Oryctolagus cuniculus: one gene and its partners. The protein of the gene in region 2 purifies or fractionates together with the protein of the main gene of each other region. This does not show direct contact. Links are inferred from orthologs where the notes say so. Each region holds a gene or a part of one and is shown on either strand. Other genes may lie near its edges. The genes, in order: HDAC6, G3BP1, TRIM25 and FXR1.

The links.
Region 1: the proteins of G3BP1 (region 2) and HDAC6 purify together in Homo sapiens (affinity purification with western blotting; 4 studies listed by BioGRID, with this or other methods). This does not show direct contact. The link is inferred for Oryctolagus cuniculus from reciprocal best matches to the Homo sapiens genes G3BP1 and HDAC6.
Region 3: the proteins of G3BP1 (region 2) and TRIM25 purify together in Homo sapiens (affinity purification with mass spectrometry; 4 studies listed by BioGRID and IntAct, with this or other methods). This does not show direct contact. The link is inferred for Oryctolagus cuniculus from reciprocal best matches to the Homo sapiens genes G3BP1 and TRIM25.
Region 4: the proteins of G3BP1 (region 2) and FXR1 purify together in Homo sapiens (affinity purification with mass spectrometry; 3 studies listed by BioGRID and IntAct, with this or other methods). This does not show direct contact. The link is inferred for Oryctolagus cuniculus from reciprocal best matches to the Homo sapiens genes G3BP1 and FXR1.

The regions. Positions count from the first base shown.
Region 1 is NC_091453.1:33,990,544-33,994,426, reverse strand, and holds part of HDAC6 (histone deacetylase 6), read right to left. Parts: intron 2,910-3,883; coding exon 2,825-2,909; intron 2,727-2,824; coding exon 2,686-2,726; intron 2,026-2,685; coding exon 1,929-2,025; intron 1,810-1,928; coding exon 1,712-1,809; intron 755-1,711; coding exon 650-754; intron 534-649; coding exon 465-533; intron 1-464.
Region 2 is NC_091437.1:38,784,749-38,788,631, reverse strand, and holds part of G3BP1 (ras GTPase-activating protein-binding protein 1), read right to left. Parts: coding exon 3,816-3,883; intron 2,952-3,815; coding exon 2,745-2,951; 3' UTR 1-2,744. UniProt on the Homo sapiens protein: Protein involved in various processes, such as stress granule formation and innate immunity. Plays an essential role in stress granule formation.
Region 3 is NC_091448.1:32,516,079-32,519,961, forward strand, and holds part of TRIM25 (E3 ubiquitin/ISG15 ligase TRIM25), read right to left. Parts: intron 3,329-3,883; coding exon 3,233-3,328; intron 1,138-3,232; coding exon 904-1,137; intron 1-903.
Region 4 is NC_091435.1:98,687,457-98,691,339, forward strand, and holds part of FXR1 (RNA-binding protein FXR1), read right to left. Parts: exon of another isoform or gene 978-3,883; coding exon 886-977; intron 189-885; coding exon 18-188; 3' UTR 1-17. UniProt on the Homo sapiens protein: mRNA-binding protein that acts as a regulator of mRNAs translation and/or stability, and which is required for various processes, such as neurogenesis, muscle development and spermatogenesis.

The DNA of each region.
Region 1 (3,883 bases), on a different chromosome or scaffold from region 2:
TGTGTAGTGTTAATAATAACAATGAATATTCATATATCTAAGTGCATAACCTAAACTGCCAATAATTATTTCTGAGGTGATGGGAACTATGAGACTCTGCCTTAGACATTTCTGTATTTTTAAAAGTACTTTGTAATATTATCACAATCAGAAGAGATAAAATAATAATTTGAGGTTTAACCAGTTCAAGGGTCCATTAGTGAACAGGGGTCAGATCCTATTGTTGCCCCTTCTTCTCTCTGAGACCTCTTAATCTGTACACCTTAGTTCCTCTATCTGTAAAACAGGGAACCCAGAAGTCCCTGCCACTGAATGAAATAAGACAAGAGAACAGACACACAGAGCAGTGTTGGTCCTGGGCCCAGGGCAGGCCTAATACATGTGAACACCTTCCCCTTCTGGGCTCTTTCTGGCTGAACCTGTAACAGTAGAGGGCAGTTGGGAGTCTAGCACCTAGCGTGTACCTGGGGTCCTGGTCAAACATGAACTGTGTTCCTTGACCGTGGTGTATATCCCAGTCAACAATAAGGACCCTATAAGAAAAAGAGGGGGTTCTGTGCAAGGGGATTAAAGTGAATCTGGGGGAAGAGCCCAGACCCAGACAGGCCACCCTGTGCCACCCCTATCACACCCACCCTCTGCCACTGACCTCTGTATGCCATGCTTCTGTTGAGCATAACGAGCAGCCACAGCCACGTGATTGAACATGCAATACCCATCCATAAGACTGTGCTGGGCGTGGTGTCCAGGAGGCCTGGACAGAACAAAGAAGGTCACTGATGGGGGAGGTTCTCGTCTGCAGAGAAGGACTCCGACTCCCCTAGCTCCTTGATCCTGGACCAACTCCTCCAATGCCAATACCTGCAAATCTGTTAGCAACTGAGGAACTGGGGCCCTAGAATTCTCACCTCCCCTGCCAACCTACTGCTCTCTCTCTACCAAAGAGATTTGAAAGTGTTCACTCAAGTTCTCAATGTACACATTCTCATGCCCAGTCTTTCTGCAGTGGGGATTGAGCCCACAACTTATATATAAGAAAGAGGGTGAAACAACATGCTTATAAAGTACTGCCATACTTGCTGTGGCCTTTTTGAAACTGCAAATGATTGGGCAAAACCAAAATACTCATTGATAAAAAACTAGTTCACTGAAAGTGCAGGGATGCAGTGGTGTTCTAGCAGGGTCTAAGGTATATAGTGTTAGAGAAAGCTTTCCAAGATAGCTAAGTGAAAGAGCATGGTGCAGAAGGGAGTGTGTCAAGTACTACCATCTGTGGGTGACAAAGGGGAGGGGAGAAGAAGGGCTCTATCTTCTGCATTCCATCAATTCAGAGATGCCAACCATGACAATATGCACCATGTTTGCCAACAACAAAGCAGAAAATGGTGCTAATAAAATTCTGAGATGTCACTGAGATTTTCAAATGTACACCAAAGAATCAATGAAATGTAGTATTTATTCCTTGAATAAGAATATTTGTAAAATGATACACAAAGCACTGGTTATAATGACTCCCTCCCAGGAAGGGAAGTACGTGTCTGAGTGACAAGAGTGGAAAAAAGATTTTTTATTATATCCTTGCCCTTTGATACCTTTTGACTCTTGAATCCATGCCTATATTACATACCGTACTAATATATTTAATTTACATTTGAAGGAAGGACTTTTAAAAAGTGTGAAATGTGAAATATGAAATGCTGGAGGGTCCTACCTGATGATGGCCATGCCATTCCGGATCTCAGCCCCCAGGACTGCATCCACCAGCCTGAGGACAGAACCTGAAGCCAGGCAGGCACAGGAGTATGAGTTCTGGAGAGACAGTGGGGAGCCAGAGTATGAATAAATGAGGGAACAGCCCTGTTCACTTGGCTGCTTCCAGGGACCCCAGGATTGCAGCGACTGCTTGCCCCCACAGTTTTCATCCATACCGGATGCAGATATACTGAGTCATAGGTGTCTGCTAGGACACGGAGTTCCCCTTCTTTCATGTACTGAGTCGACTCCATCAGATCAATGTATTCTAGGCTGTGGACAGACAGAGGATGAGATTCAGGGCCCTGTCCCCTCCCTGGGTGAGCCTTCTACACGTGGTCAAATTATGCCTTCCCAGCTATCACCATGAGGGACCAGCTGGGATATAGGACACATTCCCTGTTTTTCCCCTAGCCATTGCCAATAATGTCCCCTGCCCCCCTGCTCTGGCTATACCAAATCCTACTCCCAGGCCCTTGGCCAGACTGTTCCAGTTGTCTGTTCCTCCTCCCTTCAGCCTTCCTCTGCATCTCACTTTTTCTCCTCCTAGAGCTCAGCTCATATCTTCCCTCTGCCAAGAGAGCTTTCCTTGAGCTATAGTGCTCCAGGCCTCTTATTCTCGATTCCTGCAGCCCTCTGACCCCTGTCCATACACCCACCCTCTGTTTACACAACCTGATGACAATAACAATGCTCAGCATGGACTGAGGATAGATCAGGGCCCATTCTGAGCACCAGACACACAGGAATCTTCCCGAGGAACTTAGGTTTACTTAGCCCCTTGGTTACAAGTGATGATACAGATTCAGACAGGCCCAGCAACTTGCCCAAGGCTGACCAGAGTCCACAACATTCCTTCCCAAAGCATCCAGCCTGCCCATGCTGGTCCAAGGCAGCCTCCTCCCCATCCCTGCAAGGCTCCCAAGCCTTCACCTGTGAACCAACATCAGCTCCTCCTTTTCTGCAAACCGCGCCTGAGAAGACATGAGAAATAAAGGGTTCAGGCACAGGCTGTGCCCAAGTCCTGCCAGATCCCTGCCCTCTGGGGGACTGCACTGACTGGGGGACTCACGTGAAAGGATACACAGCGATCCAGGAGGCCCTCCTGTATCAGTTGCTCCTTGATGGCATGGAGCCGCTCAGGACCTTCTGGGAAACTGGGGAGATGAAGATGCATATATTGGGCCACTGGGGAGCCCCAGGTCTGCTCTCGCCACATCTCTCCATCCACCCTTCCAGCTTCTGCCCTTGGTCCCCTAGCAGTCCATTCTACATACAGCAGCCAGACATTGGTTAAAACCCTGATCAGATCATGCATCTTGGCCACTCAAAATCCTCTCATGGTTCCCATACTACTAACAGTAAAAGCCAGTCCTCCCCCCCACCTCTGAACCCACATCCTACCACTCTCCCCTTCCCTGGCTTAGCTCCACCTATTCAGATTTCTTCTCTGGTTCTCAGTGGAACCACGTACTCTTCAGGCTGCCCCAGGGACTTCAGTCTAATTGCTGTCCTGCCTAGAATACTCTCCTCCAGATGCTTCCCTCCCTCGTCTCCTTCAGATCTCCACTCAAGTGTCAGTGAGGCCTTCCCTGACCGTCCTGTTTAAGACTGGAGTCCCTCCACTGTGCTATTTCGCTCCCTCCTGCCCTAGTTCTCTTTCTCACATACAGTAGCATTTACTTTTGGTTTGAACACTGTCCTTTTAAGAAATTAAACTAGACTCAAGTAAAAATTATTTTTATTATCACTTACTTTTATTGGAAAGTATTTCAAATTCATAATGGATGTTTTCTGAGTTTTGTCATCTATTTTAATGTTAAAGGTTCTTTTGACACACAAGTAGAGTGAAGAGTGTTCCGCACATGGGAACAGTGATTATAAAAAGATGACATAACATATGAATTGTGTCTTTTTTAACTGAAAAGCCGACAAATTGTCTAGTTATATTTCTCCCCCTAAACAACCACATACCATGTAGTAACTGAGTCTTCTAGGCAATATATTGAAAGCTGAGAGGATTAAAAATAAGATCAAGTCCTCAGATCCAATTAAGGGAGCCCTGCTACATGCAGGCTGATCAATATCAGTGGCACTGACTGACCACGTAGCTGCAAGACATCCTAATGGC
Region 2 (3,883 bases):
TTGATGACTTATAATTACTGGGAAAATTATTTGTTTTCTGAGATTATGCAGTGATTCCCTGCATTAATTCACAAGCAGCATTTAGCATACACTGCTACTAACTCTTCATATTTAAACACACACACACACACACACACACACACGGTACATATAATGGCAAAAAATCAGAATATTAATTACATAAGAGTAGATAAATGGTACTGTAATTCCATAAAAGATTCCCATTTCCTAATTATTTGTCTGAGGCTAAATTTCAAAAGAATCAAACTATTCCTACTTCCCCACCTGCACCAGTCTACCCATCCACAGCCATAGGTAACATTAGGGCTCTTAAAAGATGGCTGGCGCCGCGGCTCACTAGGCTAATCCTCCACCTTGCGGCGCCGGCACACCCGGTTCTAGTCCCGGTCGGGGTGCTGGATTCTGTCCCGGTTGCCCCTCTTCCAGGCCAGCTCTCTGCTGTGGCCAGGGAGTGCAGTGGAGGATGGCCCAAGTGCTTGAGCCCTGCACCCCATGGGAGACCAGGAGAAGTACCTGGCTCCTGCCATCGGATCAGCACGGTGCACCGGCCGCAGCGCGCCGGCCACAGCGGCCATTGGAGGGTGAACCAATGGCAAGGGAAGACCTTTCTCTCTGTCTCTCTCTCACTGTCCACTCTACCTGTCAAAAAAAAAAAAAGAAAAAGAAAAAAAAAGAAAAGAAAAAAGGCTTGCTTCACTGTTAGAAAATATTTGGTGTCCTTGGCCCCAATCCAATGACACCAGATAGTCTCTCTCACTCTCCCCACATCTCACTTATTTTGAAACACCCTCTATGACATAACTAGAATTTGAGAATCACTGTATCTACTCAGCACTTTAAACCTCTGAGTAAGAAGAACCCTTGATTTCACATGTATGATTGCGCACTCATCAGTAAAACCTTTTGACTTCAAAGTTACTGCCATTTGTTTTTCTCAAAAGGATCTCAGGCTAGCTTTCTTTTCAAAACAAGCTTAACATAAGCTACAAAAGTGCAAGCTTTTTCCAATTATGACAGGCGTGGGTCAAATGAAGTGGTTACCAAAGAGTTATTTAAGAGCCAAATGACTCAGTCGCCTAAGTTTCTTTATATGAAGAAGATGCTACCATTTTTTCAAGTATTTGAAACAGCGGGACCAAATTGGTAATATCAAAATTCATTTAACACTTATCCAACCCCTTCACAGCCAACAGTTTCTGCAAAATGAAACATTCTTATTCCTATACTATTGCTCCAATGACAGTCCTGCAGAGGAACGCTGTTAAGAAAATAAATTAAACTGACAACTTAGTTGTCCTTCCATTAGTGATCAGTTATCACACAAAGGCTTGTTTCACATTTGTGTAAACAAAACCTTCACCCACCTCACACCCTCACACACAACACTCAACAAATAACATAGTATGCGAAACGAGTATTAGTCTATATTACCAGATTAAATTTTCTTCCAGAAATATTTTAATAAAAATTTGGCCATTTCCAAGAAATACCCACTGCATGCCCATCAATAAAAGAGAACCTTAACAAAATAGAAAATTTACCATATGGCTATGATTTAAAGGAAAAAAAAATTGCAGACACTCGAGTATATCAGTGAAGTAGTGAAGTCCAATATTAAAGTCACATTCCTTCTTATGGGCTATGATTAGGAATCCGGTTAGATATCAAAATAAAACTTAATACAAATGCAGAACTATTTAGGTCAAAGGACCTCTATAGAAATATCTGTCCTCAAAGGCATTCCAGTTTGAGACTCAATTTTAGAATAAGGCATAACAAATGTTAACAGATGACAAACAAACAAGGTGTTGATAAAGGGATTCTACAATTTCCCACATACTCTTAACCTGGTAAAAACAAATCTAGAATTTTTTTTAATTTATTTTTGTTTAAACAATTGTCAAGACTGGAATCAAAGAGAAGGCACAACAGTTTTGCTCTGGTTTTTTGTTATTTGGATTTCGGGACTTTTTTTGTTTTTGTTTTCTATTTTTTTTTACAAATACAAATTAAACATGAAAAAAATTCTACTTCAAAAAAATTCTAACAGTTCAAGAAAAGCTCATCAGTTGCATACTACACATTTAAAACCTATCTCACAATTTAAGTTTTAGTGGTAGAAACAGTGTTTCAGAATTGTTTTGTGATCACATACCAAAACAAATTAACTCTATTAACACCTTTTATTCAGTTTTTAGCCATACTAGAGAAAATGAAACTTGTTAAATTTTTCAGTGGCAACTTTTCTACACCAGAAGGTCATGACTCTCATAGAACAATTGGATTTTTCTTGCCTTCAAAATGTTTATCAAATCCTGTATCTCACAGGTTTCTGGAACATGTAGAAAATAAGAATATTCCAATGAATGAAACATACCAAATGTCAGTAATAAGCAAGACACATTCCTTTGGGGAAATGGCTATTTTAAAAAAATCCAGTCTGTATATGCAAAGTGTAAGCAAGGAAATTCAGTCTTTTGTCTTTATCTTCTTTATAAATCCAATACTCCTAAAATATCATTCCACAAAATTGGAAGTGAAGGACTAAAGGGAAGAAGGAGGGAAAAGGAGCACACACCATTAACACAAGAGAAGTGAAGTTGTACAAACGTAAGCAGTTTATAACAGACTAGGTCATACTCCAAGAAAGGCTGGTTGAAGAAATTCACCACTCTGCAGGAGCTGGGGTTTGTACGGCTGTGTGATGATCAGCGATGGGTAATTCATTGCCGTGGAGCAATCCCCCTTCCCACTCCGAATCCGGGTTTCTGCACCATGCCTCCACGGGGAGGGCCTCGCATTCCACCACCCAGCCCACCTCGAGGGCCTCCAGGTCCCCGCAGGCGGTTATCGCGACGATCTCCCTCCCTAGCAGCTCGAGTCTTCTTCTCTTCCACATTCAGACGGACTTCACCTCTGAACATGATGGGCTGTAAGAAGCAAAGTGATCTGACTTCACTCAGTGTGCTTACGGGCTATCAAAACAACAAAAAAAAACACAACAAAACAAAGCAAAACAAAAAAACCAGCGGAGCCAGCACTGCGGCAGAAAGTGCTAAACTGCCGGCATCCCGTATCAGAACACAGGCTCAAGTGCCAGCAGCTCCACTTCTGATCCCTGCCAATGTACCTGGGAAGTAGCTGTGGCTGGGACCCTACAACTATGTGAGAAACCCAGATGAAGTTCTGGACTCCTGGTTTTGGCCTGGCCTGGCTTCAGCCACTGCAGCCATTTGGGGAGTAAACCAGCAGCCAGAGTATTTTCCAGTCACTCTACTTTCAAATGCACAATTCTTTGTTTTAAAAAAAGAAAAAAAGAGGGGCCGGCACTGTGGCACAGCGGTTAATGCCACCACCTGCAGTGCTGGCTTCCCATATAGGTGCCCGTTCAAGTCCCAGCTGCTCCACTTCTAATCCAGCTCTCTGCTAAGGCCTGGGAAAGCAGTAAAAGATGGCCCAACTCCTTGAGCTCCTGGCTCCTGGCTTCGGATCAGTGCAGCTCCAGCCATTGCTGCCATTTGGGGAGTGAACCTGCGGATGGAAGACCTCTCTCTGCCTCTGCCCAACTCTGCCTTTAAAATAAATAAATCTTTAAAAAATAAATAAATAAACATACTGCTTAGTCTTGGGACAAGTAACTGGGAAGTAATTTATCAGGATCTTGTCTGGTCCACTGGGTTTATTACATTCTCTAAGATTTGAATTCAAGGCCAACCTAAACATATTGGCCATAAAATGGGATACAACAAAAAGTTTACAGGAAAATGGAATTAGAAAGGTAAGAATCAGCTTACCCTGTTGCTAAGGACCTTCTGAACAGGCTCAGAATCATCAAATACAACAAAACCAAAATTGGGCAGCT
Region 3 (3,883 bases), on a different chromosome or scaffold from region 2:
GGCTGGCGCTGTGGCTCAATAGGCTAATCCTCCACCTTGTGGCGCTGGCACACCGGGTTCTAGTCCCGGTCGGGGCACCGGATTCTGTCCCAGTTGCCCTTCTTCCAGGCCAGCTCTCTGCTGTGGCCAGGGAGTGCAGTGGAGGATGGCCCAGGTGCTTGGGCCCTGCACCCCATGGGAGACCAGGATAAGTACCTGGCTCCTGGCTCCTGCCATCAGATCAGCACGGTGCGCCGGCCGCAGTGCGCCAGCCGCGGTGGCCATTGGAGGGTGAACCAACGGCAAAAAGAAGACCTTTCTCTCTGTCTCTCTCTCTCACTGTCCACTCTGCCTGTCAAAAAAATAAAAAAAGTAAAAATAAATAAATAAAATAAAAATTAAAAAGTAAAAAAAAAAAAAGAAACAAACAACAAGAAGACCCCGAATCAGTTGACCTGGAGTTCATCCAGAGGGGGATTTTTTCGGGTGAGCCAGACAATCAGGTAAAAGGAGGACCAGGCCTTCCTCGAGGGAGCAGCTCTCCTGCTAGCTTTGAGGAAGGAAGCTACCAAGCTGGGAGAGGCCTTGGCTGACAGCCAGCAAGGAGGGGGCGACCTCATTCCTTCAACCCTAAGGAAATGAATTCTACCAACAACGGCCACGCCATGTGCGCTCCAAAAGGAACGCAGCCCAGCCAGCCCCCAGATGCTGGCGTCGTGAGCTCCTGCGCAGACGGAGCCATGCCCATACTCCAGGGCCAGGGAGCCGCTGAGCAGCTCTAAGCCCTGGGGCTGCGGTACGTTCTTGAAGTCCTGTCGCAACCCAGCAAACTCAGAGATACTTCTGTTGACCTCTTGCAGCCCGACGGCACCAGGCCCCACCGTATCGCTAAGAGACCCGGCAGTCCCGGGCCCTGCCACCCACCTCCAGAAACTCAAACTCGTCCCCCTCCTTGAGGCCGTCCTCGATCTTCTCCTTCAGGGCCTGGATCTCGCTCTTCTTCTTGAGGAGCACCTGGTGAATGGTGTCCAACTTGCTGTGCACTCTCTTCTCCTCTTCCTTTATCTTTCGAGTCGAGCTGGCCTCCGAGGCATCGATGAGAGCCTTGATTTCCAGGTATTCTTGTCGCAGCTGCTCTATCTTCCTGTTTGTAGCCTCCTAAGAGGGCCGAGGCAAGAGAAGAACCGTGAGATGGGCAAAAAAAAAAAAAAAAAAATTGCTACAGCTGCCATCCCAAGGTGGGTGAGAGGCAGAGCACCAGAAACTCTGACTTGTGCCCTGTAGCAGTAGGAGCCAGCACAGCCACCCTGGGCAGCAACCAGGCAGTCTAGGAAATTCGGAGGCATTTGTGCCCAATGACTCGGTGGCTGCGATCCTAGGAAAGCACTCTGGGAAAATGCCCTGACACCTGCCTCAGCGACACACACAAGAATGTTCATAAGTGACACGCTTTGAAACAGCGAGAACCTGGGAACAACCCGGAAATCTGTCAGCAGAAGACTTGAGACAGAGCTGTTCACAGGACGGAAAGCCAAATGGTTATGAGGATTAATAAACTGGAGCCATGCAGGGATAAAGCTCCAAGAGAGAAAAACAACTTGAAGAAGACACAGACTTGGAGAAGCAGCTGTTTATGTAAAGCTGAGAAACAAACAGAAGGGCAGAATCGATTGCTACAGAATGCATACGTGTATGAGATAGCACGTAAAGAAATGCATGGAGCGGCTGAGTACTGAGCCTCGCAGCTGAAGTGCCAGTCAAGATGCCCGCATCCCACACCAGAGTGCCTGTGCTCCATTCCCAGCCCTTGAGACGTGGCTAGTCCAAATCAAGATGTGTTAGCAGAGGCCAGCGTTGTGGTGCAGCAGGTCAACCTGCAGCCTGAGACACAGACATCCATGTGGGCGCCGGTTCGAGTCCCAGCTCCCTGCTAATGCACCTGGGAAGGCAGCGGAAGATGGCCTGAGTGCTTAGGCACCTGGGCCTGTGGGAGACTGTGATGAATTTCTCAGCTCCTGGCTCCAGCCTGGCCCAGCCCTGGCCACTGTAGCTATTTGGGGAGTGAACCAGCAGATGACAGACCTCTCTGTCTCTCCCTCTCTCTGTCTGTAACTCTACCTCTCAAATAAATAAAAAATCTTTTTTAAAAAAATTCTCCCTTCCTATCTTTTCTCCTATACTCCCTGCAATGGATCCAATGCTGCCTTCCCTCCCTATCCCCCGACACCTGCCTCCCAGTAAAGGGTATTTGCAGATGTAATTAAATTGAGGATCTCAACATGAGATCACCCTGTATTATGCTGGTGGGCCCTAAATCTAAAGACAGGTGTTTTGTTTTTATTTGACAGGTGTTTGGAAACACAGAGGGGAAGGAGGGGGAGACTGGAGCCACACAGCCACAAAGCCATCAGCCTGAGGGGCTGGAGCTGGGAGAGGCAAAAATGGCCTCTCGGTCACAGCTGTCAGAGCAGTGTGACCCCACCCATGCTGCAACTGATCCCGCCCACGTTGTGATTTTGGACTTCCAGCCTCCAAAACCGGGAAAGAATGAGTTTCATTTGTTTCAGTCGCCAAGGTTGTGGCAATTTGTTACAGCGCCCCAGGAAACAACACTCTTTTTAGGGAAGATGCAACTCTAGTGGATATTGGCTTCCTGTTTTTCTCCCATTTCAGATCATAATCATTTCTTTATATTCCTACATTTTAGTTCTTTTTTTTTATGCTTATTTATTTGAAAGGCATAATAACACACAGAGAGGGAAAGAGAAAGAGAGCAAGCAAGCTTCCATCCACTGGTTTACTCCCCAAGTGCCTGCAACAGCCAAGGCTGGGCCAGGCTGACACCAGGAGCCCAGAACTCTGGGTCTTCCATGAGGACAGCAGGGACCCAAGCACTTCAGCCAATACCTGCTGCCTCCCAGGGTGCACACTAGCAGAAACTGGATCAGAAGCAGGGGAGCCGGGACTCGAACCAGCACTCTGACATGGGACGCGGGTATCCCAAGCAGTGGTTTAACCACTGTACCACAGCAGCCACCCCCAGCTCAAGTTCTGAAGGTTCCCCCACGGTTGGGCCTGTGGGTGGTTTTCAACTTGGGTTTGCAAAGGGTCTCTCCTGAGCACACAGTGCTTTTGCTTGCTCTGCAAGGCTGGTGCTGAATTCTGATGCTTGTGAGTGCACCCAACACCAGCCTTGTCAAGGTCAGGGCTGCCCCCATCCCGCCTGGTGGTGGACAAGGGCCTGGCCACTCACCTGCACACCCTGCTGCCTGGCTTGCACATCCTCTAGCGCTTTCGACGCCCCATTGATCTGACTGTACATGATGGTGAGTTTGTACCTCAGCTTGTTCTGCAGAGAAAACAAACAAGGGTGAGACAGCTCCTCGTCAGCCTCACCCCCAACACCAGGGGCCATCCCCTGAGTCCATCCCACAGGGGCTCGGCCACCCCGTGTCTCGCCTGTGTAGAGCTTTCTGAAGCAGTCCATCATCCTTTAGGGGGGCTGCACAGTAAGGAAGTTCAGAGAACCAGATGTGGGGTCAGACGGACCCAGCTCAAGTCCCAGTTTGCAGCTGTACAGCTCCCACCACCTCAGTTTCATTGGCCATAAAAGAGAAACAACTGCTCCCACCCCATAGGGCTATCAAGGAGGATTACCTGGAACAACACACCTGCCCATACCTGGGACTTCGCCAGGTAGGAAGTTAGAGATCAGCCCGTGTGTGTGTGTGTGTGTGTGTGTGTGTGGAGCCTAAAGTCAACAAAGCACCAGAGGAGGGAAGGGGGCAGCCTCCAGCAGCGTGGGTCTCCACACTGCAAAGTCCTGTCCATAGCCCTGAGAACTCTGCACGTGATCCCCGCCTGCCCTCCTGCCAGCGCCAAGTGGGCCGCCCTGCCTGATGAC
Region 4 (3,883 bases), on a different chromosome or scaffold from region 2:
CTAGGAACTTCTTCAGTTTATGAAACACCATTCAGGACTGCTGCTTCTTGAGTGTTTTCTTCTTTTAAGGTATTAATCTTTTCTTCTCCTGGAGTACGCTGTAGCTTAGGAATTTCATCGCCAGAAGCACTAGTTGGGCCATTTATTGCCTTTTCTGAAGGACCATGTTCTTCAATCACATCTTTTGCCTGCCAAAGGGAGACAACTTTTTCAACTTCTTTATAAATGAAATCTATAGCTGAGGAGGAAAACAGCTACATAAACATTAATATTTAGCTAATTAAAAAATTCCAGTTTTATATGTCACAATGAATCCAAGAATTAAAATGTTTATAAAATTCAAAATACCAAGGTACTCCGCTCTGTGCCCTTCAACTCCATTATCTCTAGTAACTTAGCAGTGTCCAAACCACAGAAAGCATCTGTACTGTTTAAGGAAATTTTTTGGATACCAACCACTGGAAAGCTCACCATGAACAATATAAGTTAATGCCTAAGTAAAGCAATCACTACTGTACTCACCTTTTTTTATGAAACTTATTATATCAAATACCTTAAATTATTTCAAAGAATCAAATCTTTAAAGGTCCATCTCCATTACTGCAAAGAGTGTACAGCCTATTGCTTCCCAGAAGTCAACAGTCTCTATGCCCAACATCTTTGGGCAGACTGAATTTTACAAATGCTATTTAAAGTTTTAACTGAAAAGTATTTCAGGCTCAAGCATGCATACTTTCAGTTACCTGGGGCCAAGAACAAAATCGAGTTGTCTTTAATTACTTGTCTACTTAGGGAAACAAATGATCATACAGTAAGAAGTGAAAAAAATAAAGCTAAACAATAACCAAAATAAAAAAGAAACCCTACAGGTTAAATTCTCCTTACCATTTCTTTCTTGTTTTTAGCCAAAGTTTCCCTTGGGAGGTTTCTTTGTCTGCTCTGAGACTCAGCTCTAGAAATATAATCTGCAACTGTGACTGTTAAAGATGAGAAAAAAATTACAGGTGTTGAAAAATTTTCTAAAGTTTATTTATGGATAAAGAGTAATTTCACTGTTAATATAAAGTACTGGTGGGCCACCCAATTTCAGTATTTTCTTAAGCTGGGCACCACCTCAAACCAAAAACAAAGCTTGAATAATCTACCTATGACTTTAGCGCTGTCAACTGAAGTTTCAAGCTGGAGATTGAGGAAGTCTAAATTAAAATCCTCGTTCCCAAAAATCCAGCTATTTCCACCTGGTTGAAACTAAAGCTGAGGGACAAATTCGAGGTAGAAAGCTACAACCAATAATAGGGAATGTGGGTGCAGTGTTCTAGGCCCAAGACAGTGCTTGCTATGTTGGGGTGGGTAAATTTAAATTTGAAAATGTCATTAAAAATGTGCTCAAATATTATTTTTAAAAGAAAAAAAAACAATTAAAATACAACATGACACTTTCTTTAACATTTCTCACTAGAATCTGATATTAAAGTAAGAACCTATAAGTCAAATAAGGATGGCAAACCACTACCTATTCTAAAAAGTTGAATAAAGAATCAGAATGCATTCTGTGACCACCCCTGCCCCTCCCTCACTGCTAATCTTGCTATGGACTATCCAGAATATGTCTATGTAAAGTAATGGTAAGTTAGCAAAAAGGTGAACTCAGTTATATACTACTGCCAATCCTAGTACAACAAATCACCTCTACTCTACGGGTATTATATACTGGCCTCACTTTATATCTCAATCCTTTCAAGTAATTATTTTCTATCACAAACTGGGTGAGAGCCCTGATACATGAAAATACAGTATGTATTTTAAATTCTGGGTGAAAATTAATTATGTGAGAATTCAAATTTTAAGTAATTTGCTTGAAACCACAGGGAGAATTGATCCATAAGGTTCAAATTATGTCAAAATAAGTCATTTTGATATTACTAAAAGAAAGCTAGATAGTATATATAACTTTTCTTAACATGCTAGTACTTTAATATCCAAAAGTCTTTTAGAATTATTACTTGAATGAATCTTTTAAAATCATGTGAAAATCACTTTAGAACTTTCATCATTTTTATTAAAAAAAAAAACTGTAAGGTCACTTTTTAATCTAAGACTGCCTTTTTTCTTCTGTAGGAGACTCAGTATATTCATTCTGAAGCATTTTAACTTGTTTAAATTCACTGCTGGAGATAACAGTTTACAGTATTGGGAAGGGGGATATAATAATCCACCACATTACTACTTCTGCATCATGGTAGTGAGACTATCCCTGAGAATGAATCTAGCCATCCTTTGGAGACTAGCTTAGTAAATACATTCTGTTTTCACAGTTGAAGCCTCACTAATGCCTGGAAAAACTAATCTACTTAGAAGCCCTGTTGTTTATACAGACTTGCTAAATTTAAATATACAGCGAAATAATTCTCAATAGAATCCTTTGCTATGTACACAGATATATGATAATATATTTTGATACTGATATCATTAAAAGGCACTTGGCTGGAACGTCCTCTCTCCAAATAAAAGGGAACCAAAAGAAACCTCAGTTAATTCAAAGAAAAAATGTCTATAGCCAGTCCTTCTAAAAGCTTCCTTCTTAAATGTTCACTGCAGACTAAGAAATATTTATGTTGAAAACTTCAGCCAACCTAAATCTACAATTTGCACTCTAGAATTTCTTATAAGAGGGCTGAGTCAATCAGCTGCACATGTGAATGCACTGTTACACTGTAAGTGTAAAGAATACTCAATGCTTAATTTACTGCAAGAATAAGAAATTTTAAATGATAAATGATGGATTTTAAAGAATGCTATAAAACTTTAGATGAAGATTGCCTCTCAAACAGCTGCCAGGAGTAAAAAGGAAGCTTTTTTGCTCATTTCACCCACTCTATCTACCTACCTGTTGAAGAAGGGGAAGCTAGCAAATGCTAGGTCAAAGAGAAAGTGCAGAAAACAAGAGCATAAAAGAAACAGAGGCAGTACAGAACACAAATTATTCAAAACTACATTACTTGTTTCAATTAATATATATAGAAATCTCTGCCTCTTCTGCAACAAACCCCATTACTTTATTAATCCTTTTAGGTCTGTGAACTTAGTAATAACACCATTCACCATGTTAACCCATTATATCCCATTGTCTTATATTTAGGACACTTACAAAGATTTAAACTTAGCAAGTAATATATCACTTACGATAATTCTATTGTGTCACTGAAATCGTCCAAGAATAGAAAACTTGAGACTTAATGGGTTAACAAGTTATACTGTGATTAATTCTATGTTAAGTCCAGGCTGATAGCCTGAAATTTCCTATTTAAAGTAGGGCCACAAAATCTAACTACTGTGCTATTGTCAAAAAAATGTAAAAGATTTTCTTCATCTAAAATGTACTAAAGGACTAGCAGAAAGAAAAGGATAAACATTTTCTGAACACTTTCTACTTTTTGACAGTGTTTAATGCCTTTTAAAATGCCCAACTATTTTTACAAGAACTGGACCTAATACCCTTAAACCAGCTTTCCCAAATATCTCTACAACCACTAAACTTAAAATGCTAAAAATGCTAGAATTTATATCTTTTATTTGGGAAAAACACATGAAAGAATTTGGTTTGGAAAGAATGCAAAAACTGATTAGTTTGAAAGGGGTTTATTTCTGGTGCACACACATTTCTTCATTGTGAATATACATGTGATACTCTATACACAGGAAATGAAATTATGTTCAAAATAATTGACACAACAAATTTTGTTGAAGTTACTATAAAGTATAACTACTTAAAATAAGTTAACATTCTAAAACTAAATACTATTAATTTGAATAGTTAGTAGGTGTAAGGAAAAAAATCATCACACTACAATGAAACAAAACCATAACATGCATTCCTCTTAAG